3 linked regions of the Tamandua tetradactyla genome follow. The protein of the gene in region 2 binds, or shares a complex with, the protein of the main gene of each other region. Links are inferred from orthologs where the notes say so. Each region holds a gene or a part of one and is shown on either strand. Other genes may lie near its edges. The genes, in order: protein S100-A4, ANXA2 and S100A10.

Region 1 (9,544 bases), on a different chromosome or scaffold from region 2:
AGCCCCCACAGGCAGCCGCAGCCCCCCCAGGCAGCTTCAGCCCCCCCAGGCAGCTTCAGCCCCCACAGGCAGCCGCAGGCCACATTCATCCACTTCCCTTAGCCAGGAGGCAAGCAAAGCCTCAGGACAGACGACTGCAGGTGCCCCAGCAGTAACGCACCTTCATCCTATGCCTCAAAAATATCCTACAAATGACTTTCCAAGGAAAATGAGTGATTTACTCCAAAAAATGACCGAGCACGGAAGACGTGACCTGGGAAGCATGCAAGGGGGGTGCCTTGGCCTCCGCCTTCTCGTCTGTAACCGAGGGGTCTCACCAGACACTCTCAAGGTCTCCTCTGGCACAGGAGCTCTCTGAAGCACCAACCTAAGTGGATGCAAAGTGTGTCCCCCACTTTGTATTCTGGGGGTGCCTCTTCAGAGTGAAGCCTATAGACCTCCAAATGGGCAGGAGGCCAAACCCAGCTACTGACTCTGGGGGAGGGCAGCAGGGAAGTGAGAGGGGTGGGGGTGGGGTGGGGGTGGGGTGTCTGAGGCCCCAGGCTGGGTCTTTGATGTGTGCGTAGACAGGTGGGTGGATGGGGCCTGTAATAGAGGAAGCGGAAGGAAGGATACAGGGAGCCCCTGTGGGCATCCCCCATACTGACCCAGTTGGGCTCCCCATAATTGCTCTCTTCTTTCCTTGGGAAGCTACAAATAGGGATTCCCTGCCTCTGGGCTCTGACAGGTGAAACTCCAACACCAGTGGTGAGTGCCAATTGCTGCCCTGAGTTGGGTGTTAGGGGGTTTCAGGGGGCCCCCAATAGCCAGCCTGTCTTCTGGCCCAGGGCCTGGGCATAGGGGCAGGGGCTGGCCAACCGATAAGGTGAGGGAAGGCAGGTATGGCGGACTTGTGCATGCAAAGCTGAGGTCTGGCGCTGGGGGCAGAGCGGTGGGCTGGAAATGCAGGGGCTGCTCTCAATTAGCCCCCTCTCCCTCCTCTTTGCCTCCTTTGCTTTGTTTCTGGGGACCGGCTGAGATGGCTCAGGGCGGCCTAGGAAAGGAGGATTCCCAGCCCATCTCCGGGCACTGAACTTTGGAAACAGCAACAGCGGTGGCGCCAGGCAGGCTGGCAGCAGCCCAGAGGGCTAAGCACCTCCTGTGTCTCCCTTACTCCCTGGGATCTCAGTCCCTTCCTCCTCTGGGCACCTGGATACCCTGCCCCAAGTCTAGGCTATCACAGACAGTTAGCTGCCCCCCCCAGCCCCCCACCAGTCATGACCGTGAGGCCATTTGCTCCATGGGGTCTGCAGAAGGGACTCAGTAGGGAGAGAGCCTGGCCCCTGCTGCTCTGCGGTGCAGGGCTCCCGTCCCTGTCCCTGGGGGAGGCGGTGGTGAGTCACAGGCTCACATGGAAACAACTCTCCTGCCTGGCTGCCTTAGGGTTCCCCTGGCAGGGCATCGGCCCAGAAGGGTGGGGGGAGGGGATGGTGAAATTGGGGTTGGGGGGAGGTGGGCAACTCCAGGCAGCGCTTCTTGGCCTCTAACAGAACAGGGCACTTCTACAAAGAATCTTCTATCTCAAGAACCCCCAGGTCGGGGGTGGCCTCAGGGTGGGGCCATCAGGGTGGGGTCAGCACTGGAGCCAGCAGGGCCTCCGGAGACCATCTGGCCCGGATCCCCGGCTGGACCTGAAAGGCGGAACTAACCACATTTCACACACCAGGCTAGAGAGGGGCAGAGGCGAGCCTGGAGGATTTTCCTTGAGTTTGGGGAGGAGGGATTGTAGGGGAGGGTGTTGGGACGTCCCTCCAGGCCTCCCCCCACCCCCCAGCCCCACCTGCTATGTCCAGCTTCTCCAAACGCCTGAGGACAAGTCAGCCCTGGGTGAGGGTCTCTGTGCAAATTCTTACAAGAAGGAGCTCTGGGGTCCTGAAGGGGGCTGCATCTCAGAGAGTGGCACAGAGTGGGATTGCCACCTTCCTGGGTGCTGGGGGCTGAGAAAAGGTGGGATTCATCAGGAACCCGCAGGGGTGCAAGTGGTGGGGTGGGAGACACCCTCTTTCCTTGAGGGACATGCAGTGATGTTGGGGAAATAAGATCTTTGTTGAGAAAAATCACAAGGGGTGGGGGTGGGGAGGCAGTAATGAGATGAGTTAAGAGGAGCTGGTGGGGCCTAAGAGGGCTTCTCAGAGCTAGGGTAGCTTCTGGGGCCCCACACCTGACAGAGACTGAGAGAGGCCTGGGAGCACAGAGGGCAGAGGTGAGCAGGGACGCTGGCCTGGGACCCCACCATGAGTCGCCCTCTTGCTCTGTTGCAGAGAGAATGACCTGTCCCCTGGAACAGGCACTGGACACCATCCTGGAAGTCTATCGAAGATATGTCACCGCAGACGACAGGCCCACGCTTTGCCAGACTGAGCTCAAATTGCTGCTGCAGAGGGAGCTGCCCACTTGGAGGCCAGTGAGTACCCGGATGTGCCTCTCCTTCGAGTCTGCAGAGTCTGGGCCACCCACGAACAAAGGAAAGTGAGAAGGGAGGCTAGGAAGGGACCCACCTGGCAAGCAGGTGCCTCAGTTTTCTCCCCTGTAAAACGAAGTGACGACAGTCCCACCTGCTGCATTGGGAGGGTTGAGTGCAAACACCGTGAAGAATGCCTGGCATATAATAGGCGCTCAGTAGCAAACAGTTGGTGCTCAATAAATGATCTGAGAAGGAAGATTTGGAGTGGGTGGGCAGGGTTGAAATAGGTATGCAACTGGAACCGGCTGGCTGAGGTTGGCCCTCCGAAGCAGTGTGGATTGGGAGGAGAGGGGCTTCCTCGGAGGGGAGGGACAGAAGAGGGCCAGTCCCCCTCCCCCAGCTCCTCACCCCTCCCCCCCGCTCCTCACCCCTCCCCCACCTCCCGTCGCACAGACTGAGCTTCGGGAGTGTGACTACAATAAATTCATGAGCCTTCTGGACACCAACAAGGACTGCCAGGTGGACTTTGCGGAATACATGCGCGCACTTGCCTGCCTCTGTCTCTACTGCCACGTGGCTTGGAGAACTGTGCCCCGGAGGCTCCCTGCGCCCCGGAGACTGCCTGTGCCCAGTAGCCTGCGCCCAGGGGGCCGGGAGGTCCGGACTTGCCCCGCCTCTGCCCCGCGTGGTCCGGGGCAGGTCACCAACAGTCTCCCACATGCCCCTCTGCCCTCCTTCCTAAATCTCTCTTTTTTTCCTCTTTTTGGGGGTGTGTGTGTGCCTGGGCTGGGAATCGAACCGGGGTCTCCCACATGGCAGGCGGGAATTCTACCCTGAGCCGCCCCAGCACCCACCTATACTCTTTTTAATGAGGGATCTGCCAGGTCCACCCCGATATGCCGCCCCATATCATAGGCTGCGCCGCAGTGAGGGATACAGCAGCCGCGGGCCCCTCTGCGCCCCCTCTTCTGCCTCCCTGCTGCGATGCCGGGCCCGGGGGCGGGACGCGGGGCTGCTGGGGGGAAGTGAAGACCCGGCAGAGCGTGGCCCCAGTGAGGCCGAGCACCCAGGGGCCCAGTGAGACCGAGCACCCGGGGGCCCAGTGAGACCGAGCACCCGGGGGCCCAGTGAGACCGAGCACCCGGGGGCCCAGTGAGACCGAGCACCCGGGGGCCCAGTGAGACCGAGCACCCGAGACCCCAGTGAGACCGAGCACCCGAGACCCCAGTGAGACCGAGCACCCGGGGGCCCAGTGAGACCAAGCACCCGAGACCCCAGTGAGACCGAGCACCCGAGGTCCCAGTGAGACCGAGCACCCGGGGGCCCAGTGAGACCGAGCACCCGGGGGCCCAGTGAGACCGAGCACCCGAGACCCCAGTGAGACCCAGCACCCGAGACCCCAGTGAGACCCAGCACCCGGGGGCCCAGTGAGACCGAGCACCCAAAAGGCAGTTTAACTCCTAATAAAGAGCTGGTGTCAGCGTGGCTGGTTTGGTTCTGCTGAGAGGACAGGCCGGGTCTTGGGGCGGCCGCTGGCTGAGGCTCTGCCCTACCCGGGCCTTTGGGGGGAAGCGGGCAGCTGAGGGGCCCCCGAGCAGCCCACGCACCCCAGGGCCGTTTCAGACCCGGAGGAAATGACCTGGTCTCAGCAGCCCGGCAAAAGGGGTGGGGTCCCACGCAGTGACTCCCATCCTGGGGGAGGGGCCACAGGGCCTCTCTCTGGGGCCCCTGAGGGTGGAGTGCCCTCCAGGCGGGGCAGCCAGTGGTTCAGCGGGGACAGAAGAGCTGAGCTCGACCCAGCCCAGCCCTCGTGACAGGATGCTCTGAGGCGGGTGGGGCCGTGGGGCGGGGTGGGGGGGGTGTATGCCCAGCCCAGGGCTGAGGGAGCCCTGAAAACAGGATTCATGGGTTTAGGATGTCTGAAGTGTCTGCACCCAACCAAGGAGGGGTGCCCTGTGTTGGAAGGGGTAGGGGAGACCTTGGGGCAGACCCCATTCCTGAGGTCATAGTTACCGAGGGCCCAGACCCCCACTTCCGAGCTTCACTCTATCCCTGGGGTCCTCCCCCACCCTGAGCCTCAATGCCCCCGCCCCCGCCTCATCAGCTCAGCCCATCAGCCCAAAACCCCCATCCTTGAGCTCAAGCCCCTCCCTGGAAACTTAACCCTCATCCCTGACTTGTCCCTATGGGACCATTTCACCCCTGACTCCTGCCCCAACCTGGCTTCTGAATTCCTGACACGCACCCCTACGCCAGCCACCCCCACTCCCACCCCTGTCCCTAACCACCCCACCCTTGTTTCTTCACCCCATCTCTGAGCCCCGTCCCCCTCCACCACTGCATGCCACCTCACCCAGGTCCTTTGTTGACAGACATTCTGGGGCGTCCTGAGCCTGCTTTGGGTGTCAGCCAGTTCCCCGTCCTGAGTGCCCCCTGTTCCCCGACCCCATCACCATGGCAGGTGCCCTTTGGGGAGGGGAAGGGCTGATTGAGCCTGGGGCTCCCCACCAAGCCCCATACTGTCAGGGGCATTTGCCATCCTTCCCCCACCACCCCTGAACCCCTTTTCCCAGGCCCTCCTACTCCCTGACCCCCACATTCCATTCACACACCGCCCCCTCCTCTAGCTCCAGGAACCCCAGGTTGAGCTCTGTGCGCTGGGCATGCCCACCCAGCGGAGGTGTCTGCCCAGGCTCACTGGTGCCCACCCACTGTCCACCTGGGCCTGCCCGGGGGCAGGAAGCTTGGTTTCCTGGGCAGGATGGTCGAGGGGGCTGTGGCAAACATGGGCCCACAGCAGGAGGCCAGTCTCCCGCTTTCCCCCATCCCCTGCCATGGGCAGGGCTTGGCCCCGGGTATAAATAGGTCAGACCGCTGGGCTTTCCCCACTCTTCTGTCCCCAGCCCTCTCTCTTTGGCGCTTCCTCTCACTTGTCCTGGTGAGTTGTGGCTGCTTGGCTGGCATGCAAGGGGTGTCTGACCCAGGCTCCGGGGCAGGAGAAAGGGAGGTTGGTGGGGACCAGATGTGCTAAATGGATCCAGATGTGCAATTCAGATGTGGAGGCTCTGGGGTGGGATGTGTGTGTGCAAGAGAGAGAAACAGAAAGTGTGCAGGTGTACTGAAAGGCGGGGGCTGCAGGCAGTGTTGTTGGGGTGTGCTGTGGCATGTGTGTGACCCATGGCTTGTGCTTGCTGGGTTGCATATGGCCATGTGCGTACGCCCAGCAGTGGGAGGCAGATGGAGGCAGAAGGCACTGTGGGCTTCTGTCCGGCAGTGTCCCAGGAGCCTCTGCCCTGCACGGAGCAGCCCAGCCCGGGAGAGCCCGGCTTCCCCTCCCCTCCTCTAGTCTTTCTTCCCTTCTTTTTCCTTCTCTCTTCTCCCCCCTCCTCTTCTCCCCTCCCCTCCCATGCCTGCCTCTGCCACCTCACCCTGCCCCTCCCTAGGCCCGGCAGCTGGTTTTTTCCGCTCCAGGCCCCTGGGCTGGGCTCCAGCAGCCACACCCAGCCTGGAAGCAAGAAGAATGGCTCAGGGTGGAGCCGCTGCCCGGCTGGGGGAGTGGGGGGGTCTGTAAGGGGTGGAAACAACACTGTGGTTGAGACACGACCTGAGTGAGGCCCAGGGTGCTGGCGGCTTGAATCTCCAGAGCCTGTGCAGTGGACCCTGCCAATGTTTGCTGCCTGGAGCTTGCATCTCCCACTCTATACAGCCCCTGACGCCACCAGGAGCTGAGCCCCGCCTCTGTAGGCTCCCCCCACGGCAGGACCAGAGTCTCATCAAATGCTCCATGAGGGGTGGGGAGTGGGTTGGGGGCTGTGGATGCTTAGCTGGCACGTAGGGTAGATAAGGGTGCCTCTGTGAACCCCCCCACCCCCAGATCCTGATTGCTGCCATGGCGTACCCCCTGGAAAAAGCCCTGGATGTGATGGTGTCCACCTTCCACAAGTACTCAGGCAAGGAGGGTGACAAGTTTAAGCTCAATAAGTCAGAGCTAAAGGAGCTGCTGACCAGGGAGCTGCCCAGCTTCTTGGGGGTAAGTAGGTGCCCAGAAGAGGGGCGAGGCCCTGGAAGGTGCTAGTCTTTGCTACAGGTGGTATCTCTCACTGGAAGGGGGAAGGAGGGGGCAGAGAGCTTGCCCTGGCTGCCTTCAGAGAAAGACAGCCGGTGCCCAGCATGCACGGGTCCCCGGCGCAGGCTGATGGAGGGTGAGTTACCAGCTGGACGTGCAGCCAGGTGCTTTGTACTTATTATGTAACTTAGCTGAAGGGAAAGCTGACGCTCAGGGAGGCTAAGTAACTTTGCAAAGTGGTCCATGCATGCAACCGAGAGCTGCACCAGGACTCTTGCTGCCACTCTAGCAATGGAAAAATTTTGAGCTTCTATTTGGCTTGTGAATGTGCCGATGTAGCTATGGAGGCTGGCATACGCCTACAGATCTCCCCTCAAGCAATAAAGCAGCTCTCATCCATGTCAAACCGTCCCTTGTGTGCTGTTTTATGGCCATTACCTAAATGGAGTCTTAAAACAGCCTTGGGAAAAGATGTCCCGCCTTTTCAGTTGACAGCATCCAGGTAGGTATTCAGCAGAGTCCTTCTCACCCAAGGGACAGCCTCCTCCTGCACTAGCTTCGCCCTGAAGGTGGAAGGTCCTAAAGCCTGGGCTTCCCAAGGAGTGGCCAAGCACCTTCTCGAGCCCAGATCTGGGGGGGCACTCGGTTCTCGTCTGGGCTTCACTCCCTAGGCTATGGCGCTTGACCTGTCGCCTCCTCACCTGTCGCCTCCTCTCTCTCCAGAAAAGGACGGACGAGGCCGCCTTCCAGAAGCTGATGAGCAACTTGGACAACAACAGGGACAATGAGGTGGACTTCCAGGAGTACAGCGTCTTCCTGTCCTGCATCGCCATGATGTGCAACGACTTCTTTGAGGGCTTCCCCGACAAGCAGCCCCGGAAGAAATGAGTGACCCCGAGCTGCGGCTGCGGGGGCTTGGCCGGGCCTTGGCTGGGGGCCGTGGGGGCGGTGCCTTCCCCTGGCTCCTCCAGACTCGTGTGTGATGCTGAGCAACTCCAATAAAGAGTCTTGAAAGCTTTAAGGCTGCTGGTCTGAGAGACTTGGTGTGCGGGGTAGGGGCCGGGGGATACGTCCGGGGAAGGCGCAGGCTCATGGAGAGGCAGCTCAGCTGCAGATTTTTGGGGAGCAGACTAGTGGAGGGGAGCTGACCAGGATATGTGCATGGGGAAGGGGCCGGGGAGGACAGAGCTGGCTTTGGATGGCGCTAGGAGCAGGGAAAGGGACCACCGGAGACCAGGGGATCACAGCCAGCCAGCTCACCCCACCCACCCCTCTCCAATCTTGCCTGTGGCAGGACCTCTAACTGAGGCCCAGATGGGATGGAAGGTCACATCTGCTCCTGGTTGGGGTCTGGAATGGGCTTGGGTTGCCAGGGAGTGAGATGGAAGGAAGGAGTCATGGGGAGGGAAGGGGGGATGTAGCAGGCCGGGTGTGTGGGTGTGAGAGCCCGGGGCCACAGGGGGCGGGGAGGAGGGCTGGCCCGCAATCCTGACATTTGCAATCAGGACCCACAGGGACAGATTCATCCTTTCCTATCCATGGTTGGATAAGGAGGGAGACAGGGCTGTTCGCAGAAGTCATTCTCCAGTCCACTGTCCCTGGGATGAGATCTGCTATCAATTAGGAGTCACGTGTTTTCAGAGAAGGACAAAGGACCTGGTTGGGGTGGGAGGGAGATGGGGAGGAGGTGCCTGAAGTTTTGTTTTTTTCTTTTTTTTTTTAATTAACTTTTCAATTTTTAAAAAAATATGACAAGAAAGAAACCCAAACATTCTTAACATATGCTCATTCCGTTCTACATATATAATCATTAGTTCACAATATCATCACATAGTTGCATATTCATTGTTATGATCATTTCTTAGAACATTTGCATCAATTCAGAGAGAGAAATAAAAAGACAACAGAAAAAAATTCATACATACCATACCCCTTACCCCTCCCTTTCATTGATCACTAGCATTTCAACCTAAGTTTATTTTCACATTTGTGCCCCTTATTATTTATTTTTATTCCACATGTTTCACTCGTCTGTTGATAAGGTAGATAAAAGGAGCATCAGACACAAGGTTTTCACAATCACACGTGACTGAAGTTTTTGAGACAAAAATTCCAGACACATGATCTGATAAATGAAATTGAGATTTCTCTCCGCAGGAAATCAAGCATGTGTTGCTTCCACTTCGGGGAGACTAAGGCTCAATGGGCTGCAGGGGCCGGTGGGTGGGTTTCAAGTTAGACCTCAAGGCCATGCCCGGATGACGCGGGGCACCTTTAAGGAAGAGGTGAGTCAAGGTCAGGCCAAGAAGCAGGATCTGGGGCCATTGGCCCATCAAACTCTCCCCTTTCCTCTCATCCCTGTTCTCCTCTCACATTCCACATTCACAGGAAAGGGGCACGTGACTCAGCGGTTCCCTTAGAATTTGGCTACAGAGACGTGGGTGGAATTTTGGTCCCAGAAAAACGGGCTTCTCTGCCCTTTTCTCCCCTTCTTTCTCCCTTCTTCCACACCCCCCCCCACACTGACCCCCCCCCCCCAGGCCAGCCTTCCGGCCGCCGTCTTCCCTGGGACCGCCCTCCCCTGAGCCTCCTCCTGCAGCGCTCTCTCGTCTTCGGAAACTCCTGTTGCTCAGCAACGTGTTCCTGCTGCCTCCTGAGCCCTGCCAGCCGGGGGCGGGGGTGGAGCAGGGGGCAGCAGGGAGGGCCCAGGCAGGCAAGGGTTGGGGCCGTGGCAGGGACTGCTTGCTAAGCCCCTAAGTTGTTCTGTTCCCATTCTCAGAACAGTGTTCCAGTCTTCCTGAGATGCAGGCAACGCTCCCCAAGCCTCACCATGTCTATCAGTGCGCCTTGAACCGGGACCTGTCTTCTCATCCACAACCTCATCCCGTCGCCAGGCCCCTCGTCCTTCCCTGGATCCCTTCCCCAATTCCTGATTCTCAGTCCTCCATTCCAAGGGTCTCCAACAATTTTTAACCCATGAAGATTTGGGATGCTTAAAAGAAATCATTCATTTTAAAGCACTTTGAAAATCTTAG
Region 2 (9,747 bases):
TAAATATATCATCCACTGTTTTTTGTCTTCCATGGCTTCTACTGAGAAAATGACAATCTTATTGAGGTGTCTTTTGTAATGACATGTTGCTTCTCTCTTGCAGCTCTCAGGATTCTCTCTTTTGCTCTGACATCCAACAATTTGATTATAATCTGTGTGCATATATTTGAGTTTATCCTGCTTGGAATTTGGGAGCTTTCTAGATGTGTATATTCATGTATCTCATTAAAGCTGGTAAATTTTCAGCCATTATTTCTTTGAATATTCTCTCTTCCCATTTCTTTCTTTCTCTCCTCTGGGATCCCACAATGTGTATATTGGTATACATGCTGTCCCACAGGTTCCACAGGCTCTATTCACTTTTTTTCATTCCATTTTCTTTCTGCTCATCAAACTGAATAATGTCAATTGCGTTATTGTTATGGGTGGGTTCATGTGTCACCTTGGCCAGGTGGTGACCAGTTGTCTGGTCAAGCAAGTACCGGCCTAACCATTATTGCAAGGACATTTTATGGCTGGTTAATAAATCAGGATAGTTTATTAAATCATCAGCACGTTGATTGCATCCATGGCAGATTACATCTGCAGTTGGCCAAGGGGAGTGTCTTTTGCAATTACAGATGTTTAATCTAATGAGATGAAGGTTTTAAAAGAGAAGTCAGAAGAGAGAATCACTCTCTCCACTTCAGCCAGCCTCTTCTGGGGGTTCATTAAGGCCTTCATTGGAGCTTGTGGGCTGCCCTATGGAACTTGAACTTGTGCATCCCCCAGTTGCATGAGACACCTTTATAAAATCTCATATTTACAACTCCTGTTGGTTCTTGTGCTGGTTTGAAAGGATGTACCCTAGAAAAGCCATGTTTTAATCCTAATCCCATTTTGTAAAGGCAGCCATTTCTTCTAATCCCTATTCCGTAGTGTATGTTGGAAACTTTAGATTATCTCTATAGAGATGTAACTCACTCAAGAGTGGGTATTAAACTGGATTAGGTGGTGATGTGTCTTCACCCATTCCTGGTGGGTTTTGACTGGTTTTACTGGAATCATTTAAAAGAAGCAGCACTTTGGAAAAAGTGAGAGAACAACAAGAGAGAAAGCCAGGAGGTTCAGAGAGAGCAGAGAAGACCAACAGAGCCACGAGAAAGCCACAACAGAGAACGCCGCAGAACCGTGAGGCAGAGAGGCCACCAGCCAGCGACTTTGGGAGATGAAGAAGGAAAATGCCTCCTGGGGAGCTAGAGAGGAAACTAGCAGATGACGCCGTGTTTGCCATGTGCCCTTCCAGCCAAGAGAGAAACCCTGACCATGTTTACTGTGTGCCTTTCTGAATAGAGAAACCCTGAACTTCATCAGCCTTCTTGAATCAAGGTATCTTTCCTCGCATGCCTTAGATTGGACATTTCTATAGACTTGCTTTGTTTGGGACATTTCCACAAATTAAAAACTGTTAACTTGCAACTTATTAAATTCCCCTTTTAAAAAAATCTATTCCATTTCTGGTATAATGCATTCTGGCAGCTAGCAAACTAGAACAGTTCTGTTTCACTAGAGAGCCCTGGCTAATATACTCATCTTCAAGTTCACTGGTTCTTTCTTCTGCCAGCTCCAATCTCCTGTTAAATCCCTTTTAGGTAAATTTTAATTTACCTTACTGTGATCTTCAACTCTGTTCCTTTTTATTATTTCTATTTGTTTACTGATATTAACTTTTTTCATCTATCATTTTTCTGATTTTCTTTAGTTCTTTGTGTTTCCCTTTAGTTCTTTGAGTATATTGAGGACAGTTTTTTAAAGTTTTTGTCTGGTTTTTGCTCAAGCTCTGACTTTCATCACTGATGATTTCTAAAGTTTATCTTGCTCCTTAGCATGGGCCACCATTCACTGTTTCTTTTTATAGGGCATTCCACATTTTAATATGTTATTTCTTGAATTTAGTCACTGAGGTATCAATTTCTTAAGCTTATATCAAGCTAATATTATGACAGAGATTTCCTTGAATATCAGGATCTAACCAAAAAAAAAAAAAAAAGAAAGAAAGAAAGAAAAGAAGAAAACACCTCTGCCAGTCTTTATAGATTATCACGTGTAAGTGCGCTCCTTCTGAGTTTAGCTTGCTTAACAATAAGTTTAGAGAAGCCCAAGGTGAAAACATAGGTTCTTCCCTGGTCTTTACTGAGAATGTGTCATGTCCTAGGCATGAGTGCATGGCCCTCTACTTCCTCCATTACCTGGATCCCAATGTCCCTTCCCTCTAGGAAATACCTTCCCTTCCAGGTCTGAGTGCTACACTGCATGTCTTAAACCCAGCAATCCTTTGCCCCAGGCAGCTACTATTTGATTGTTCTCCTACATCATTCTAGCTCCCGTGTGAGTCATCTCTACATGCAGGAGTCCCAAGCTCTGGAACAGTAAGCCTGCCGTGAGCTTCCTGGTTCAGTCCTTCACGCTTACACCAGACAGCCTGATACAGACACGCATGCGCCCTAGGAGGTGCAGAAGGTTACTTTGTTCCCTCTGGAACTGGGACCAGGGACTCATGCTGGAGAATGGGCTCACCCTCAGCAAAGAAGTGGGTGAGAAAAGGACCAGCAAGGGCACCTCAAGGTTTTCCTATAATTTTTAAGTTGCCGTTTTCTTCTTTTGGGGATTGCCCTGACACTTAAATCCTTTGTTTTTCAGACCTCTGAGAATTTGATGTTTAAAGCTTCTGTGGAAGCTTGCTTAAAACTTCTGTGGAAGGACAGAACTCATCTCACTCCACCATCTTGGTGATTTCACTCTCAGCCAAAACAGTTTTTTTAAAAGGACAAAGTTGGAGGACTCACACTTCCCAAATACAAAACTTACAAAATGTACAAGATGACCTGGCAATTCCACTCCTAAATACCCAAAGAAATTGAAAACTGTGATTCAAACAGTACTTGTACACCAATCTTCATAAGAACATTATCCACAATGGCCAAAAGGTGGAAGCAGCCCAACAGTTTATCAATAGATGAGTGGACAAAATAAATGTGGTACATATACACAATGAAATATTATTTGGCCATGAGAAGGAATGGAGTTCTGAGACATGCTGCAACATGGATGAACTTTGAAAGCATGATGCTGAGTGAAATATGCAAGGCACATAAGGATAAATACTGTATGATTTCACTTATATGAAATATCTAGAAATGGAAAATTTGTAGACAGAAAGTTGATCAGAGGTTACCAGAGGATGGGAGGGGGCAGGTAGGTATAGGGGATGTTGTTACTCGGTAGGTATAGTGTTTGGACAATTTGAAAATTTAAAAATGAAATTAACTTTTCAAAAGTTTATTAGTTTGTACAGTCTTCCTCATTACACAGTCCACATCTAGTTTATTCTTGCCAATAATTATAAAAGCACAAACAAAAAACAGAAAAAAGAACCCAAAAGAAAATAAAAACTGAGCATAACAGCAGATTAAAGCAGGGCAAGTGCAGACCATATTCAGCTCAGCACTTGTTTTTCTACAGGCTGTGAACTAAGAGGACTGGCAACTTCGACTTTGGCTTCTTGAAAGCCAACTGCCATGACTACGTTGGAAGAGAGAGAGAGAGAGAGAGAGAGAGAGAGAGAGAGAGAGAGAGAGAGAGAGAGAGAGAGAGAGAGAGAGAACCTGAGAGACCAAAGGAGAGGCCCAGCTAGCCCTCAGCCATTCCAGCCACCCCAGCTGAGGCACCGGACAAGAGAATGAAGCCACTTTGGGTCCTCCCCAACTCTGCTTGAGCTGTCCTAACCAAAACCAAATGGAGCAGAGCAAATTGTCCTGAGCCCTGCCCAGACTGAAGAATCATGAACAAATACATGATTGCTTATGTTTCAGCCACTATGTTTTGGGGTAATTTGTTACATTGCAGTAAGTAACTGATATAAGGACTTACTTGGGTGCATTATTTAATCTCTGGAGTGGGCAGGTTTTATTTGGGCTCCAGTTTCTCTATAAAAATCAGGGACTGAACAGGTTACTCTCTGAGTTTCCTTTCTGCTCTGTTTTATTACTCTGAATAATTTTTTTCTATCATTCTATTACATTTTAGTGAATGCCTATCAATGCTAATAGAGGCACTGTTAAAGTTGTTGAGATACAGCAGATGAGAAATAAAAAAATTGAAATCTGAGGTCTCCCCAACCGTGAAAACAGAAGGAGAAAAAAGGAGAAGAAAGCAAGGAGAATCTTTAGAATTGAAATGTCAGAATTTCTTGTATACTGGTAGAACTGGCCTCACATTCCTCAGAAATAGCAAATCATGACTTTCAGTAACTTCATTTATGTGGTAACCCCAGTGCAAAGTTCTTTAGCATGCAGCAAACAATGACTGTTGCACAGTTTGGATTTGCAGGATGACCAGGGTAAGTAAAAAATTCTTTTGGATACTTGGTGTCTTTTATACATTCCACATGATTTGAATGAAATGTTTTCTTCCATAATGGGCTAACTGTAGCACAATTAGCACCAAGAGGCTGCGGAATCTGCCTCAAGAACTAGAGAAGGAAGGCAGAATTATGCACACTATTATTTTCTGGCTGGCTTCCCCAATGTTTCAAAATGCTCACTGAATAGGGAAACATAGTTTCTGCCTTCAAGGCTTTCACTTTAAGTTGAAGAACCATAAATGTAGGTCAGAAGTGGTATCAAAAGTGTTGCTTTATGAAACCTAGTGTGGATGATAATGGTGGCTAATTATACAAATATAAGAAAAATTTTTCCATGAACTAGAACAAATGTATGTCACTATTACAAGGTGTCACTAATGGGGTGGTATATGGGTAAAAATACAATTAATGCAAACAGGTTTATAGTTAACAGTGACGTTGTAATATTCTTTCATTAGTTGTAACAAAGACACTGTACAAAAAGTAAATGTCAATAATAGGGGGATATAAGGGAGGGCTGTAGGATTTTTCTTCCTCTTTAGAAGAAATGGGAATGTTCACATATAGATTGTGGTGGTGAATGCACAACTATGTGATTACACCAGGAGCCATGGATGATAGTACACTTAGGATGGATTGAATGCTGTGTGAATAAACTTTAAAAAAAAATAAAACAAAAACACTTAAGGGATCTATTCTCCTTTTGCCCTTCTGATGGGACCTTTGACGTATACTTTCTTGTGAAAGAACTGGGCAACAGTGAGTTCTAGGCTGAGGGTCCAGAGACCCCAGTTCTGGTGTGAATTTTGCAGCTAATTGGCGGGTTAACATGAGCATGGCACTGAGAGTCTTCTGACCTTAGCTTCTTCTTCTATGGGCACTGGATGATCCTTCTACCATTCTCTGATTCTTCCCAGGAGTGAACTGACGCTTAACTGAAAGCAAAAATGGTTGTGCCGAAAGACGCAGCAACATCAGGTCTAGAAGAAAGAACTGTATGAAGTGAGAGTACAAGAAGGAAATTCAAAGGCGCAGCATTCCTGCTAGTTTGAGGTTTAACACAGTATTTGCTCAGTCACACACAAACACATTTGTTGGCCTACATGTTGCCAATGTTAGCTCGTGGAAGCAATGCAAGGAAAGGAAAAGCAAGAAACTGAGCAAAACCGAGGGAGAGCGGGCCAAGCGGCTGGGAAAGAATGGCAGTAATAAAAGAAGGAAGGCAGGAAACGCCTTTGCTGGAACTCGGGGTTCAAAGCCACCGGCCCCACCCAGTCCGGGACGTCCTGCCCCAAGGACTCGCGGGGCTGCCGGACGCTCGGGTGTGGGACCCGATCCTCATTCGGACCCCGGCCCAACGTTTGGCTCGGGCTTCGGCCTTCCGGGAGCTCGCAGCCCCGGCTCTGGCGAGCCCAATGCTGGAAGGCCGGGGCGGGCCAGACTGCAAGGCAGGGCCTGGCGACTCGCCCTCCCGCGCTCCCGCTCCTCCCGGGAACTGCCGGCTGGAGGGGAAGCTAATGTGTTTGCAGAGGTAATGGATATCTGGATGCAAACGGCCTTAGTTCAGGCGAATCACGACGGATGCTTCTTGGAACAATTGTTTTCTCCACTGCATTGACGCGGAAAAAAAACCCAATAAGTGACTTAACTAAGCCCACAGTCCACTTAAGTGCCAACTTACTAACCCAAGCCCCGGCTGCGAACCCGACGTGGCGCTCCTGAAGGGAGAAGAAACAAGGCCGACAATGGGCCTCGAGGAAGCCTGAGCGTCTCGGCGGGGCTTTAAGGAGGGTAGGGGCGTGGGCGTGGGGGCCGCTCCCTCGTGGCGCGGCCCGGAGAACTTTCCTGGGCGAGGCTGCCCCTGCGGGCGGGCGGGCCCGGGAGGGTGAGTCACCCGGAGCCCCGGTGGGAGCGGGCAGGGGGCGGGGCGGGGCGGGCCTCGCCTGGCCGAGGGAGGATGTGGCGGGTATAAAAGCCCCTCCCAGGCCGGCCGGCTCCGCTCGGCATCTGGAGACGCCTGCAGTTTCGCCGACCGGCCCAGGTAAGCGGGACGCACCCGGCCCGCCCGCTATGGCCCCGGGGCCGCCGCGCTAGCGGGTCCAAAGCGCAGGGGAGGAGGCAGTGGCCTCGTAAAGAGACGGGGACCCGGGAGGCCATCCGGGAGAGGGGCACCTCCGCAGTGGGGGGGGGGGGGGGCCTGTGTGCGGGCCCGAGCGGCGCCGGGGCCTGGGGCGCAGCGCGGAGGCGGGGGTCGGGCCCCGCAGGCCCGGCAGGGAGCGCGGGCGACGCTGCCCCGGGGAGGGGAGCCCAGGGAGGCCAGGCATTCCAGCGGCGCGAGGCCCGCGCGGGGCAGGGTGTGGCCGCCCGGGGAGCGGCGGGTCGGGTGCGGAGCAGTTGTCCACGGGCATTTCCCTCCACATTTAACAAAAGCTCTCCCGCCATCTAGAAAGTAATCTCCATTTGTTCCAAGTTACTTTACTCGAAAGAAACGCACGTTTGTGGCGCTTGAACCGACCGCAGCAGGAAAGCACTGGGGAGAAGAAGGAAGGGTGGAAGTTCTGGGCAGCAGGCCATTCCCCCTCGCCCCCCCTAAGTAAAACCAAAACTACAACATAACCTAAAAAACCTCAGCTCATTTTCTTTTGTCCAGATTATCTTGTAGGATAGCAACTTCTGATTTCAGTGTTTCTGGAGATTTTCTGTTGATTGGGAGTCACTCTCAGCCTGGTAGAACACATCTGCATCAGGAAGTGCCCCCCCCCCCACCGTTGTTCTGTGGGGAGCCTGGGCTTGACTGTTACTCGGATGATGCGACAGTGAGTCAGGGACTAAGGGTACAGAAAAGGGCGTGGCTCCCCGCCCGCTCCCCGCAGCTCTGGGAGGCCAGCGCCAGCATCTGCTATGGGACGCTTGGGTTCCTTATCTGCCAAGAGTAGTTCAAGGCTACCCGTTCTTATTTCCATCTGCACAGGGTTATTATTGCAGGTTTCGAAAACCAATAAGTACATTTGGAAAGTACAGTGAAAACGGCAAGTGCAGTACCAGTACAAAGTGTCATCATTGCGATAAGATTTGCTGTTTGTGATTTATGGATGCTGAATTTGTATGTAAAAGAGTCGGGCCTCGTAGGTGCACATTGGGTCTGTCTTTGCCAGACTCCTGGAGTTCAGGGTCCCTGGGCCTTTGAATTCAGACTGCTTCTAATAAGGATTCTTTCCAAAAGTGGGTGTCACTTGCCTGCTTGGAGCTTGGTGGTGTGGAATGCAGAATGTTCTGTCCCACTGTAACAATGTTAGAAGAATGTGCTTGAGTTCCCAGGCTAGCCCAGAAGATCATTTTTAACGTGCACTGTATCTAAGTACTGATACTGCATGCCTGATGTGGGTGTGGGGAACAGCCTGAGGAGGATATGTGGGTAGGGAAAATGAACAGCTGGAATGTTTTTAGTTTCAAGACTGGTCTTGATTAAACTATTTTAATGAGAAAATTACGTATTTGTCCCCTCTCCTCTTTCTTCTCTCGGCCTTCCTCTAACTTCTTTAGAGACCGGTTCTTCCAACATGTTACAAACCATTCTGGTTTTTTCAGTCTTGCTGCATTCGCTCCTCTGTCCATTTCAGTATAGTTGTACCCAGCTAGGGGATTAGCAGATTGAATCAATATTCATTAAATTAGGATTTGTTTTGTGGTCCCCAAATCCTCAGCAATCCGAAGGAGTTACGTTATTTAAAAAACAACAAAAACTGGTCAATCAGATCTTTAATTTATAGAATTTGAAGCTATGGAATCAAGGAATAATAATATTCAGACAGTGTGAAGGGAAAATTTAGGTGAAGGTGAGGTTTAGAGAGGCAAACTTGAAGAAGTGTCCCTGTGGCCAGTAACAGTAAAGACATTTCAGTTTAGCAGTTTTCTCCCTTCCTCTACGTGTACCTGTTATCTAAAAGTGTCAAGGTTTTCTGCAGAAGTACTCATCGCATGGGCAGTGCAAGGGTGTGGCCTTCTACGTGTATTTTTTCAGTTATGATTTGGATACTGCCAGGCTTTTGTCATTTCCTGCAGTACCACCTGACCTGCCTGCAGAAAATGCGCAGGAAATATAGCTGACTCACTGGCTTTTATTAGCAGCTGAATTATGGACTGGAATCTCAGTATTTAAAGTATTGATTGACATTAAGCTTGCAGTAATGGCCATTAGTTTCCTGGCTGATTTCTCATTTAAGTGTTTTTCCTGGCAAGGTAAATATTCCATAATTGGCTATTGATTTTGAGGGCTGTAGGCACTTCCCACCCAGGTGGGCATAGTGTCTGGGACTCGCACCCTGCCTTAAGCCTTTGTTCTAGCTCTTTCTTGTGCAGGGTTCTGAGCCCACTGAGGAGTCCCAGGGTCCAGAGGGCTGTCCTAAGCATCCATTCATTGAACAAAATATTTTTTAATTACCTGTATTTGTGATTCACAGTTACAGGCACTGGGAATATAGCAGTGAATAAAACAGACACAAAAATTCCTTCTCTTGGAGACCTTACTTCTAGCAGGAAGAGAAAGAAAAGAGACACAGTAAGTGACTCGTATAGACAGTTATCAGATTTTAAATATGACCTTTACTTAAAGTAATGTGAGATTTCAAACTTGGCTACAGATCCAAGCATCCTATTAAGACCGCCTCTCGGGAAGCTTTATATAAAGCTAATCCTGACTTTTAACTTGCTTTCCAGATTTGATTGTGAGAACTAAATAGAGTGGTGTGTACCTCTTTCTTTTTTTTAACAGATGGAATTCCACTTCCCTCATTTTCCCTGGTGCCACACCCTATTCTAGTTGTAGGCCACACCAGAGGAAATTACAGTTCTTTAAAAAAATTCTTTCCGCCCATTCACTATCGGGTATATTTTTCCCTCTCCAGTTGCCAGAGGTAGTCCCCAGCTACTTTGTTGAGGGGTCAGGTCAGCAGTAGGAATCAGGAGATACCCAGGCTTGTACTTCTGGGTGAAATCTGCCAAGATTACCTCCAAATCTCTCTTCTGTTGTACACCCGCAAGCTTTTAAGTCATTTTCACACAACCCTGACCAGAGGGCAACTCAGTAGCACCCAAGGGGTCTGAGTTCGAATCCCAGATTTGGTGCCGAAAGCTCTGACTCAAGGGGGTGCCTGTGATATGGAACCCTTGCCCCTCCTCTCCCTGCCACACCCAGTCTCCACACTCCTTAGCTCAGAAGGTCAGAGTGTTAAGGCCACTTGTAAACCCTGCCTCCTTACCGCCCCCTGGCTTTAAGTGCTGAAAGGAGACGTAGGTTGCAATTCCATGTTGTCCTGAGGACAGAGCTGGGATCCAAGCAGCCCTGA
Region 3 (9,771 bases), on a different chromosome or scaffold from region 2:
AACAAAAGGACAAATACTGTATGGTCTCACCGATATGAACTGACATTAGTGAATGAACTTGGAAAACTTCAGTTAGTAACAGAGGTCATCAGGAGATAGAAATAAGGTAGATATTGGGTAATTGGAGCTGAAGGGATACAGGTTGTACAACAGGACTGATTGTAAAAATTCAGAAATGGATAGCACAATACTACCTAACTGTAATACAATAATGTTGGAACACTGAATGAGCCGAATGTGAGAATGATAAAGGGAGGAGGCCTGGGGGCACAAATGAAATCAGAAGGAAAGATAGACGATAAAGACTGAGATGGTATAATCCAGGAATGCCTCAAGTGTATAATGATAGTGACTAAACATACAAATTTAAAAATGCTTTTGCATGAGGAAGAACAAATGAATGTCATTACTGCACGGTCTTGAAAATGGATGGTAATTCATATTTTAAAACTTAAACTTATGTGTGAGACTGTATCAAAAAATGTTTATTTAGTACAAAATTTTTATTTTGACTAGTGCATTTTCTAATATAACTTATGTGGATAGCTTAATTGAACACCACAGTACACAGAACCTTGAGTAAGGCATGAGATTTTGTTGGTTTGTCCAGAGTGATGCCCTGATAAATCCCAGAGTGATCTGAACAGTGAATAAAAAAGTATTTGCAAAGTCCCCTTGGGGGAATGGTGAGAAAAGGGGAAAATTCAACTTGCCCAAGTGGAGAATTCTTGATATTCTCACAAGCAGGGGGACAACCAAAGCAATAGGCTGAGCCCCCAGTCTTGGGGTTTGTTCATATGAAACTTATATGTGGGAGCCAGGGTTAATGGAAAACCTGCAGAATTTGTTGGGAGCAACTGGCTTCAGAGTGGCGTCGGCAGTAAACTGTGGAGACTGCTATCTGCTTAACTGGAGGACAGCCTGAGAGGGAGAGAATGTTTGTTTTTTCTTAAGCCCCAAGGTCTTGTTAGCTATCTCTTGTATGTAGAGAGTAATATACTGATAAGTAGGCACTCTGTTTTTTTCACGAAATGTATGCCTGCTTTTAGTCACCTAAACCCTGCAATATAGAAGCAGGAACTAATTAAAAATAAAGTTATCTGTTTTCTAAGCTTCAGACCCCCTGAACCCATCTGTTTCTTTCTTTCTTTCTCATCATTCCTTAATATCGTTCGAGCTCCATTTCATAGGAAGCAACACTTAACCCCGCAAAGGATAGGTCAAGCCTACTTAAAATTAGGCCTAAGAGTCATCCCCAAGAGAACCTCTTTTGTTACTCAGATGTGGCCTCTCTCTATCAGTACGGCAAGCAAACTCACCGCCTTCCCCCGCTCTAAATGGGACATGACTCCCAGGGGTGTAAACCTTCCTGGCAACATGGGACAGAAATCCTAGAATAAGCTGGGACTCAGCATCAAGGAGTTGAGAAAACCTTCTCGACCGAAAGAGGGAAGAGAGAAATGAGCAAAATGAAGTGTCAACAATGTCTGAGAGATTCCAAACAGAGTTGAGAGGTTATCCTGGAGGTTATTCTTACGTATTAAGTAGATATCACCTTGTTATTCAAGATGTAATGGTGAGGCTGGAGGGAACTGCATGAAAATGTAGAGCTGTGTTCCAGTAGTCATGTTTCTTGAAGATAACTGTATAATGATATAGCTTTTGCAGTGTGACTGCGTAACTGTGAAAACCTTGTGTCTGATGCTTCATTTATCTACCTTATCGACAGACGAGTAAAACATATGGATTAAAAATAAATAAATAATAGGGGGAACAAATGTTAAAATGAATTGAGTAGATTGAAATGCTAGTGATCAATGAAAGAGAGGGGTAAGGGGTATAGTATTTATGAATTTTCTTTCTGTTTTCTTTTTCTTTCTTTTTCTGAATTTATGCAAATGTTCTAAGAAATGATCATAGTGATGAATATACAACTATGTGATGATATGTGAGTTACTGATTATGTATGTAGAATGGAATGATCATATGGTAAGAATGTTCGTGTTTGTATGTTGGTATGTTTAATAGATAAAATTTTAAAAAAATAAAAAATATAATAAATAAACAAAAATTTTTTAAAAATTTTAAAAAGCTATATAGTTATACAATTATCTTCAAGAATCAAGGCTACTGGAACACAGCTCAACAGTTTCAGGTACCTCCCTCTAGTGTGGCTAATTCCTACTTGTCCTTTAAAACCCATTTAAACCAAAGGTAATTGATATCCTCTGATAGGAATCTGTCCTAAGGAAATTGCACATAGACAGAGATGTTTATTCAAGAAATAGTCAGGTCTACATATAATCATTTATGACAGCAAAAAGTTGGAATCATCCTAAATGTTAAAAAAATATGGGAAATGTAATCAGTTATATCTCACACTTGAGTTTTTTGTTTGGTTGGTTTGGCTTTTGGATTGCCTGCAAACGAGTCTTGACTAGATATCCATAAATCAGCGGTTATCACCTGACATGATGCTGTGATTCCTTAATAGGACGTTTTAACTGACAGGAAAGTGTATCTTTGCTACAATTGTGATTTCCCCTGTTAACTCAATGTCTGGGCAGACAAACATGGAGTGAGGCTTCTACTGGTGCAGGGTACAATGTGATATACATAGAGAGACAAAGAAACAATGCATTTCCCAGATCAGAGGGGTCAGGACAGCAAACGGCTCTGCCCAAGCAGTGACACGGTGCTGAAGTGTGATCGGTATAATACAGTAATGACTCAACATGCAACTCAAGTCTTTTGACTGTGCTGCCAAAAATACTAATACTCAAAAGAATGTGGCTGTATGCGTTAGGGTCATGCTGAACAAATAAATCCCCAAATCTCGAGATTTTCTCACTCCCAAAGCTAGCCCAATGGGAGCCTTCTGCTTGGCAGGCAGTTTCCTCCACGGGGTGACTCAGGGACCCAGGGTCCTTCTGACTGGTTCCTCTGGCCCAGAGCCTCAGAGTCCTGCAGACGTGGAGAAAGAAGGTGGGAAAGTCACCTCCGGACTGCCTTGGCCTGAAAGTGACACATGCTTCAAGTCCCATTCTGTGGGTGACCAGTCCAGGCCCCACCCAGGTGCAAGGGGTGCCAGGCGTGTAACCCCCCGCTGGGCAGCCACTTCCCGGCAGCAGTCTACCCTCCCGGCTGGGCAGCCACTTCCCGGCAGCAGTCTACCCTGGAAGAGGAGGCAGGCGTTCTGGGGACAGCCAGACCTCCTGGCCACAGCCGCAAAACTGCAAACCGTTGAGCACCACTGGATGACAGGAGCTTGTTACTATCAAACAGAGAAGTGGGAAAATATCCACTTAAGTAAAACAATCCCCCCTGCTGCCAGCATGGGTTTGAGTCCAACCCATGCACCCGAGGAAAAAAAGAAGCCATGTGATGATCTGTCTGGTGTATACATCACAATAAAACTGCATTTTTTTTGAAAGTCACATGAAGGAACTCATTCCAGCATCATACACAATAAAATATGCTCATGCTCACACATATACTCACAGTCTTGACAAATACTTAATGTAAAATGTGTTTAATGTTTTAACATTTAATGAACAGCAGTGAGAAAAATATATATATATTTAATGAAAATAGTAAGGATAAAGTGTTACATGACAAAAGTAGAATTTATAATTTTACATCAGTGTGATCACAAATCTGTAAATACATATGTACACATGCATAAAAAGACCGAAGGAAATATAAGAAAATGTTCACCTTTAGTTCATGAGTTTACACATAAATTTTTCTTTCTTAAACACTGATGCATTTTCTAAACCTACAGGAATGTAATCTTTTTACAATCAGATTTAAAAATCAGGGTGCACGGGTGGTTCAGGGGTAGAATGCTCACCTCCCATGTGGGTTTGATTCCCGGACCAGGCACCCCCACCCTCACCCCCCAAAAAAAGGATCAGAAGTTACTGTTATTTTTAAAACTTCTCTCCAAGGTTGCGTCCTCCCGGACCTTCCCCTGACCACTGCAGCGTGACCCGGCGCCGCTGCTCACTGCTCCTGGAGTGTCCCACCCATTCCTGCACCTCACTACCCACCTGCATTTTCCTTGCCTGCTGATCTCCTAACAATAACCGGGTCTCTGAGGAAAGCCACTGAGTCTTCTGATCTCTGAATCCCAAGGGCCTGACACACACTGCAAGCATCCCGAAACACTTAGGCACCACAGGAGGAAATTAAACGAGTAAGCAGGAGTAGGCAAGCTCAGCTCTGCAATCTTCCCTGGAACGGGGAACCGGGTTTTTTTTCCACTGGGGACGGCGACCTGGGGCCAGGAAGGCTGAGGAACTGTCCCCTGGAAGAGACGGCACAGGGGCCCAGGGGGGTCAGAGCTGAAACTTAAGTTGGGTTTTCCTGACAGCTGCTAGGATTAGTCACAGGGCCACGCTTGAAGGATTCCCCAGTCGGCTGATTCCTTCGGGATCACTCACTCCTCTCGGGACCTCCCCTAGGAACTAAGTAGGAAGGAAAACCCCAGACCTTGGGACTGCGCCCTCTTCAGCCAGCAGCTGCTAGGAGTTTGCATTCAACAAAGTTAAAATAAATGTCCACAGTTAAAATAAACGTCCACGGTTAGGGATCGCTAAGAAACACTTAGGTTTTCTCTGTATGCCTTCAAGCAAAAGAGCTCGGGGGGCCGAGCTGGCTAATGAACGAAAAAAAGATTTTAAAACTTAGATTTTAACGATATCAACCACATCTGAAGTTGAGCTACTGACATAATGCAGCCACGCGGACCCAGGGGGTGGAAACCCGTCGTTCAACAAAGGGGGAAACGCCCCTGGGCGGAGAGCCAAGCAGCCCCTCCTTCACCCCCCTCACCCCCCACTCCCTCCCTCACCCCCTCCCTCACCTCCCCACCCCCTCCCTTACCCCCTCACCCCCCTCACTTCCCCACCCCCTCCCTCACCCCTCACTCCCTCCCTCACCTCCCCACCCCTCCCTCACCCCCTCACCTCCCTCACCCTCTCCCTCACCTCCCTCACACTCTCCCTCACCTCCCCACCCCCTCCCTCACCCCCTCCCTCACCTCCCTCACCCCCTCCCTCACCCCCACCCCCTCCCTCATCCCCCTCCCTCCCACCGCCCCCAAGCCCCCCCCCACCTCCCGGCCCCGACGCGCCCAGGTCGGCTTCTAGCGCGGAAGTGAACGGAATCTGAGAGCCCTCTGCCCGCGCCCCTCCCGGCGCTGTCTTCTGGGAAACAGTCCCTAGGCCTGCGGGGCGCGGAGGAGCCGCCTCTGCGCCTGGCCGACGCGCCGCGCCCCGGCACCGCCGGACCCCGGGTTTCCGAAGCCGAGCCCGGGCGGGCGGGAGGTCCTGAGGGGCGCGGCGGGCGGCGCGGTGCACCTCGGGGGGCGGGGACGGGGTGGGCGGCGCAGGGAGGGGAGGGTGGGGAGGGCCCGGCCCGGCCAGGCCCCTCCCGCCCGCGCCCCTCCCGCCGCCCCGCGTACTAAGGCGCCCGCCCGCCGCGCGCCGCTCACTGGCTCCGCGTCCCCGCTCCCGAGGCCCCGCTCCCGCCGCCGCCGCCGCCGCCTCCGGCCAAGGTGAGCCCCGCCGGGCCCGCGCACCGCCCGCGGCCCGGACCGTCCCCACCCGGGGCAGCCCCCGGACCCCAGTGCCGGGAGCCCGCGACCCCAGGCCAGCGAGCCGAGCGCCCCGCGCCCCCCGCCACTCCGCGCCTTCCGCCGCCCCGCGAGCGCGCGGCCGGGGCCACCTGCCTTGCCTGCCCTCTGCCGCGGGACCTGGCCCGGGCCTCTGCCCTCCTCCCGCCCGGTCGTCAGCCGGTCTTTGCCGCTGCCTGCCTGCCCTTCGTCCACGCTGTCGGCTTTTCCAGACGCCGCGTCCCGCCGTCCTGGCCGCGGCATGGGGGGGCCCTCGCGGGCCCCGCCTCTGTCCAGAGGTGCCCACCCCGGGCTGGACGGTCCTGCGCCCTCGGGGGGAGGGGGTGGTAGCAGGGGCGGGGGGCCGGGCGGGGCCCTCCCCGGGATGCTCCTCAGACCTGCGCCAGGGCCCTCGGGTCGGGCTTCCTGTCTGCCTCGGAGACGGGGGCCCCACTGCGCAGCGAGCGCGCGCCGTCTGTTTTCTCCGCACAGCGAGGAGACAGGGGCCCTGCCTGACTTGGTTTCTCCACTGATGGACTTTTCCCCTTCTTACCATCTGAACTAAATCAGAGGACTGGGAGGGAGACGGGCGAGGGCGGGCTGGAGGGCAGCTCTCCCCAGCCCAGATGAACCTGGCCGAGTGCCGTGGGACAGAGGTCGGTGGGGCCAGGGTGCCCCCTCCACGCTGGAGGCTGGCCCGGGCAGCACCCTGCAGCCGGCCTCGCCGAACTGAAAGCAAGCAGAACCCCGAGGCCAGGCACGGCAGAGCCCTAGGCCAGCCTGGGTCACTCTAAGCCCACCGCCCTCCCCTCGCCCTCCCAGCCCCGCCCCCTCCCACGGGGCTGGGAGTCCTGCAGGGTGGGGTTACCACGGAGGGCTGGGGGTTCTCTAGCGGTGAAGGGGCTGGTGACTCAGCGGTGAGACCATGTGGGCGGGGCCCTGCTGCTGCCAGAGACTCTGCAGATGGACAGACACTCCCTGGAGGAAAAGGGAACTGTGCCATCTTAGAGGGCATTTTCCAGGAGGAAGTGAGTCACTCCAGGACTGACCCACGGTCTGAAGGAGAGCTATCTTCCTGAACTGTAAGGACAGTGATTAGATTGGCAGAGTCATGGCGAGACCATGCCACCCCATTATGGGTCCCTAAGGCCTGGCAGCCTGCCCCGGCTTTACTTGGGAGGTAGCTTTTCCCGTTAAGAGGTTTGCGGTGGCTGCAGATTTTTTTTTTCCCTCTGCAGCTTGAATTTCAACCTCCAGGAGTAGATTTTTATATCCTGCACTTAGAGGTGGGGTCAGACTCATGGAAACACCCTGCAGTGATCTTTGCTTCCAACTTGTTTCAGCAGATTGCAAAAGATAATGCCAGGGGGTGGGGCAGGAACCAGTGCATATAATTCATTTGGAATTTCATCATCAGCCCTGCCCCCACAGATTCCTATCTGGTTTCTATTTATTCATCCCTTTCTAAATGGTAAATACTCTCCTCAACAGCGCCAAGCTGGCTTCTTCCTTGAGGTCCTTGATCCACCATTTGGGGCTTCTTATTGCAGTTTTTCAAAATTTCTTGAGGCTCTCCTGTATAAAAAGCAGTTGTTTGGTATCAGGCTGATTTCTAGGTGATGCTTCTCCTGGCTTCTCCCGAGCATATGGCATTTGGGTCCTCTTTCTCCCCACGCCTGGCTTCTGGCCAGCCTCAAGCAGCCACCCCCGCGAGGTCAGGCCTGGAGCTGTGGAGTTGGGCCTGGGTGCGTCCCTGCTTTCCACAGACAGTTCCAAAAATGTGGCTTTTTTAGAACACTCCCCACTTGGTGTGCCTCTGGATACAGTCAAGTCTTTTAAAGTAAAACCAGAGGGAAACAATGGAATCCTTTCAGTGTTATAATGTGTAAATTAGCATTCAGAGTGCTGGGAAAGCTTGACAAAAATCGTAGGAGCATTCCTAAGAGTCTCCTTTTCCTGGCACTTAATTTAGGAATCTCCCATCAAAAGCAAAAACAATGAATTTAAATATTTTTAACAGCAGTTCTTAGCACTTCGGTCTCTTCGTTAAATAACTACATCTATTTACTGGTTCAGATTGATGCCTGATGAGAGCAAAATGGGTGTACTTCATTGGGACAGAGGAGGCGTCTAAGTTTTCTTCCTTTTGGATGTTTCTGGAACTTTCCTTTGCTGTCCACTTCCTTAAGGGACACGTTTTGTTGGTAAAAAGTTGAGAGACAACCTGGATCCTGACCTACTGCCTCAGTTCATTTCTTCTGAATTCCTTTTAAGGATCAAATTCAATGAAAACCTCTTTGGTTCAATTTTCAGAAAGCAAAAATTTTTAAATGCTTTTTTTTTTTTCAAAATTCCCAAAGCCAAAGGAAGGAAACCTCAAACACATTTTCAATAACAGATGTTTGCTATCACTGACACCCCGCCAGTTATTTTCTGGGTGGGCTGTAAGACAGCGAGACTAAGGGTGAGGCACAGAGGAGCAAAGTAAATCCGACCTCGTGCTCAGGAGAAGTGTTCTCTTTGAAATTACGGCCGGTTCTGGGCATAGGTCCAGAGCAAACATTTGAGATTGCTCAGGAGCAGACGCTCTGTGCTAAGCGGGCCCCTGCTCCCCTGTCACTCCCAGGATGGTTCAAACGTACATACGAGTATCAGTTTCATTCTTACCAGTTTATTGAGCATGAGGCAGAAGATGGGATAAACAGAAAGACGTGACAACAGCACAAGTGAGAAGAGGAAAAAGGCATGCCAGGGTCTGACCAGACCTGTTTAGCAGGACATGCATTTTTTCCTGTGTGCACTACTGTTTCATTCACAGGTGAGCCCTTTTGCGGCCCCTTTCCTGGCCCCTCCCAGCTCCGAGCCTTGAGCTCAGGTTTAAGGTTTGCAGCCCAGTCCTAAACAATCACACTCAGACCTCGGCTCCTGCCAAGGAAGTTGTCTGAGGCAGTCATTCCCTCATTTAACAAATGGCTATTTAGTGGCTAAAAGATAAATGCAGAAAAACTCACAGCTTTAGACCAAGGGAACTTGGATCTACAAAAGAGACAGGCAGGTAAGCCATTCCACGCAATCGAGTGCTGCCGGTTGTCTGGGCCCGGGGAGGGTGCAGCTGCCCTCAGCCACAGCCCCGAGGCCCTCCCCTCAACCAGGACCCAGCCCGCTCCTGCCCCAGAGCCTGTAGGGTGGCTGGGGATGGAAAGTCCAGGTGCAGGGTGCAGGCCCCTTGAAGAACAGCTGCTTCGGCCACCAACGGTCCGTGCTGCAGTCAGCCACGCCTGGGCAAGCCACGCCCAAGAAGGGAAGTTCCCTGCACACAAGCAAGGCCTCAGAGAAGGGCTAGGAGCCCACGGAGGTGATTCATCCACTTTCCAAGAGAACAGAGTTTTAGTCGCAACATTTCCCCCCTCTCCTTGTCTTTAAAACCAGTGTGCTGGCTCCTTCAGAACAGTTCTTGGCTGGTGAATGCCTTCTGGAGCAATGGCTGCTAAAGAGGAGTGCTTGTTCTCACTTTCAGGGTCTTTTATCTCCCCACCGGCCTCTCTGCATTCTTGTTGCAAGAAGGTCTACTGGACAGACAGGGAGTCAGCCGGCTGCTGAGTTCACAATCCATTTGCTGATTTAAACAGCTGGGAGGGAGGGCGGCCCAGTGGGGCAGGGATGTGGGCAGCTTCAGAGACAAAAGCGCAGTCACTTCATAAATAGTGTGGCCGAGAGACTCAGGTGACCCGAGACCCAAACATTCCTGCGGGGGGGAGGGACACTGGCCCCTCTCTCGAAGGTGTTCCGCTTATGACTTGTATTTCTTCATAGTTCCTGAATTAGCCTGTTTTAGGGGCTCAGCCGCGCTGCATTCCGTTTCCTACTTCTTCTCTGGGTTTTCTGCCGCTCGGCCTGCGAAGGTGAACTCGGTGTCCCCAGGCAGTGACAATGTCTAGGGCCTTTGGGAATCCATAGGGCGGTGCTCTCCCACTCGCAGTGTGGCCACAGGCATTTTAAACTCTGTGGTGTCTGACGCCTTTTCTGAGTCATTTAGGAGCTGGACCTGGATCCCACGTCCTTCTCCCATGCGTGGCTCACTTCTGTTCCCTTAAAGGACTCACATGGCTGGACTTCCAGTCCCCAAGCAGGCAAGGCAGACGCCTAAACTCGCT

What was found.
Region 1: the proteins of ANXA2 (region 2) and protein S100-A4 are in contact, whole or in part, in a crystal structure (PDB 5LPU), measured with the Homo sapiens proteins. The link is inferred for Tamandua tetradactyla from reciprocal best matches to the Homo sapiens genes ANXA2 and S100A4. Residues at the interface, in NP_001002857.1 of Homo sapiens: Leu13, Glu14, Pro21, Ser22, Ala23, Tyr24, Ser26, Val27, Lys28, Tyr30, Thr31, Asn32, Phe33, Glu36, Arg37, Leu40, Thr44, Gln69, Asp70, Phe73, Arg77, Arg78; in NP_002952.1 of Homo sapiens: Lys35, Leu38, Pro43, Ser44, Phe45, Leu46, Gly47, Lys48, Arg49, Thr50, Asp51, Ala54, Phe55, Lys57, Leu58, Asn61, Leu62, Gln73, Phe78, Cys81, Ile82, Met84, Met85, Glu88, Phe89, Phe93.
Region 3: the proteins of ANXA2 (region 2) and S100A10 are in contact, whole or in part, in a crystal structure (PDB 4FTG), measured with the Homo sapiens proteins. The link is inferred for Tamandua tetradactyla from reciprocal best matches to the Homo sapiens genes ANXA2 and S100A10. Residues at the interface, in NP_001002857.1 of Homo sapiens: Val4, Glu6, Ile7, Leu8, Lys10, Leu11, Ser12, Leu13; in NP_002957.1 of Homo sapiens: Phe39, Gly41, Phe42, Asn45, Gln46, Ala51, Lys54, Ile55, Leu79, Ala82, Cys83, Tyr86, Phe87, Met91.

Annotation. Positions count from the first base shown.
Region 1 is NC_135330.1:6,366,381-6,375,924, reverse strand, and holds protein S100-A4, read left to right. Parts: upstream 1-5,318; 5' UTR 5,319-5,381; intron 5,382-6,317; 5' UTR 6,318-6,332; coding exon 6,333-6,473; intron 6,474-7,232; coding exon 7,233-7,397; 3' UTR 7,398-7,530; downstream 7,531-9,544. UniProt on the Homo sapiens protein: Calcium-binding protein that plays a role in various cellular processes including motility, angiogenesis, cell differentiation, apoptosis, and autophagy.
Region 2 is NC_135340.1:76,390,065-76,399,811, reverse strand, and holds the start of ANXA2 (annexin A2), read left to right. Parts: upstream 1-5,916; 5' UTR 5,917-5,933; intron 5,934-5,953; exon of another isoform or gene 5,954-6,193; intron 6,194-6,335; exon of another isoform or gene 6,336-6,443; intron 6,444-8,862; exon of another isoform or gene 8,863-8,960; intron 8,961-9,747. UniProt on the Homo sapiens protein: Calcium-regulated membrane-binding protein whose affinity for calcium is greatly enhanced by anionic phospholipids. It binds two calcium ions with high affinity. May be involved in heat-stress response.
Region 3 is NC_135330.1:3,154,211-3,163,981, forward strand, and holds the start of S100A10 (protein S100-A10), read left to right. Parts: upstream 1-5,482; 5' UTR 5,483-5,560; intron 5,561-9,771. UniProt on the Homo sapiens protein: Because S100A10 induces the dimerization of ANXA2/p36, it may function as a regulator of protein phosphorylation in that the ANXA2 monomer is the preferred target (in vitro) of tyrosine-specific kinase.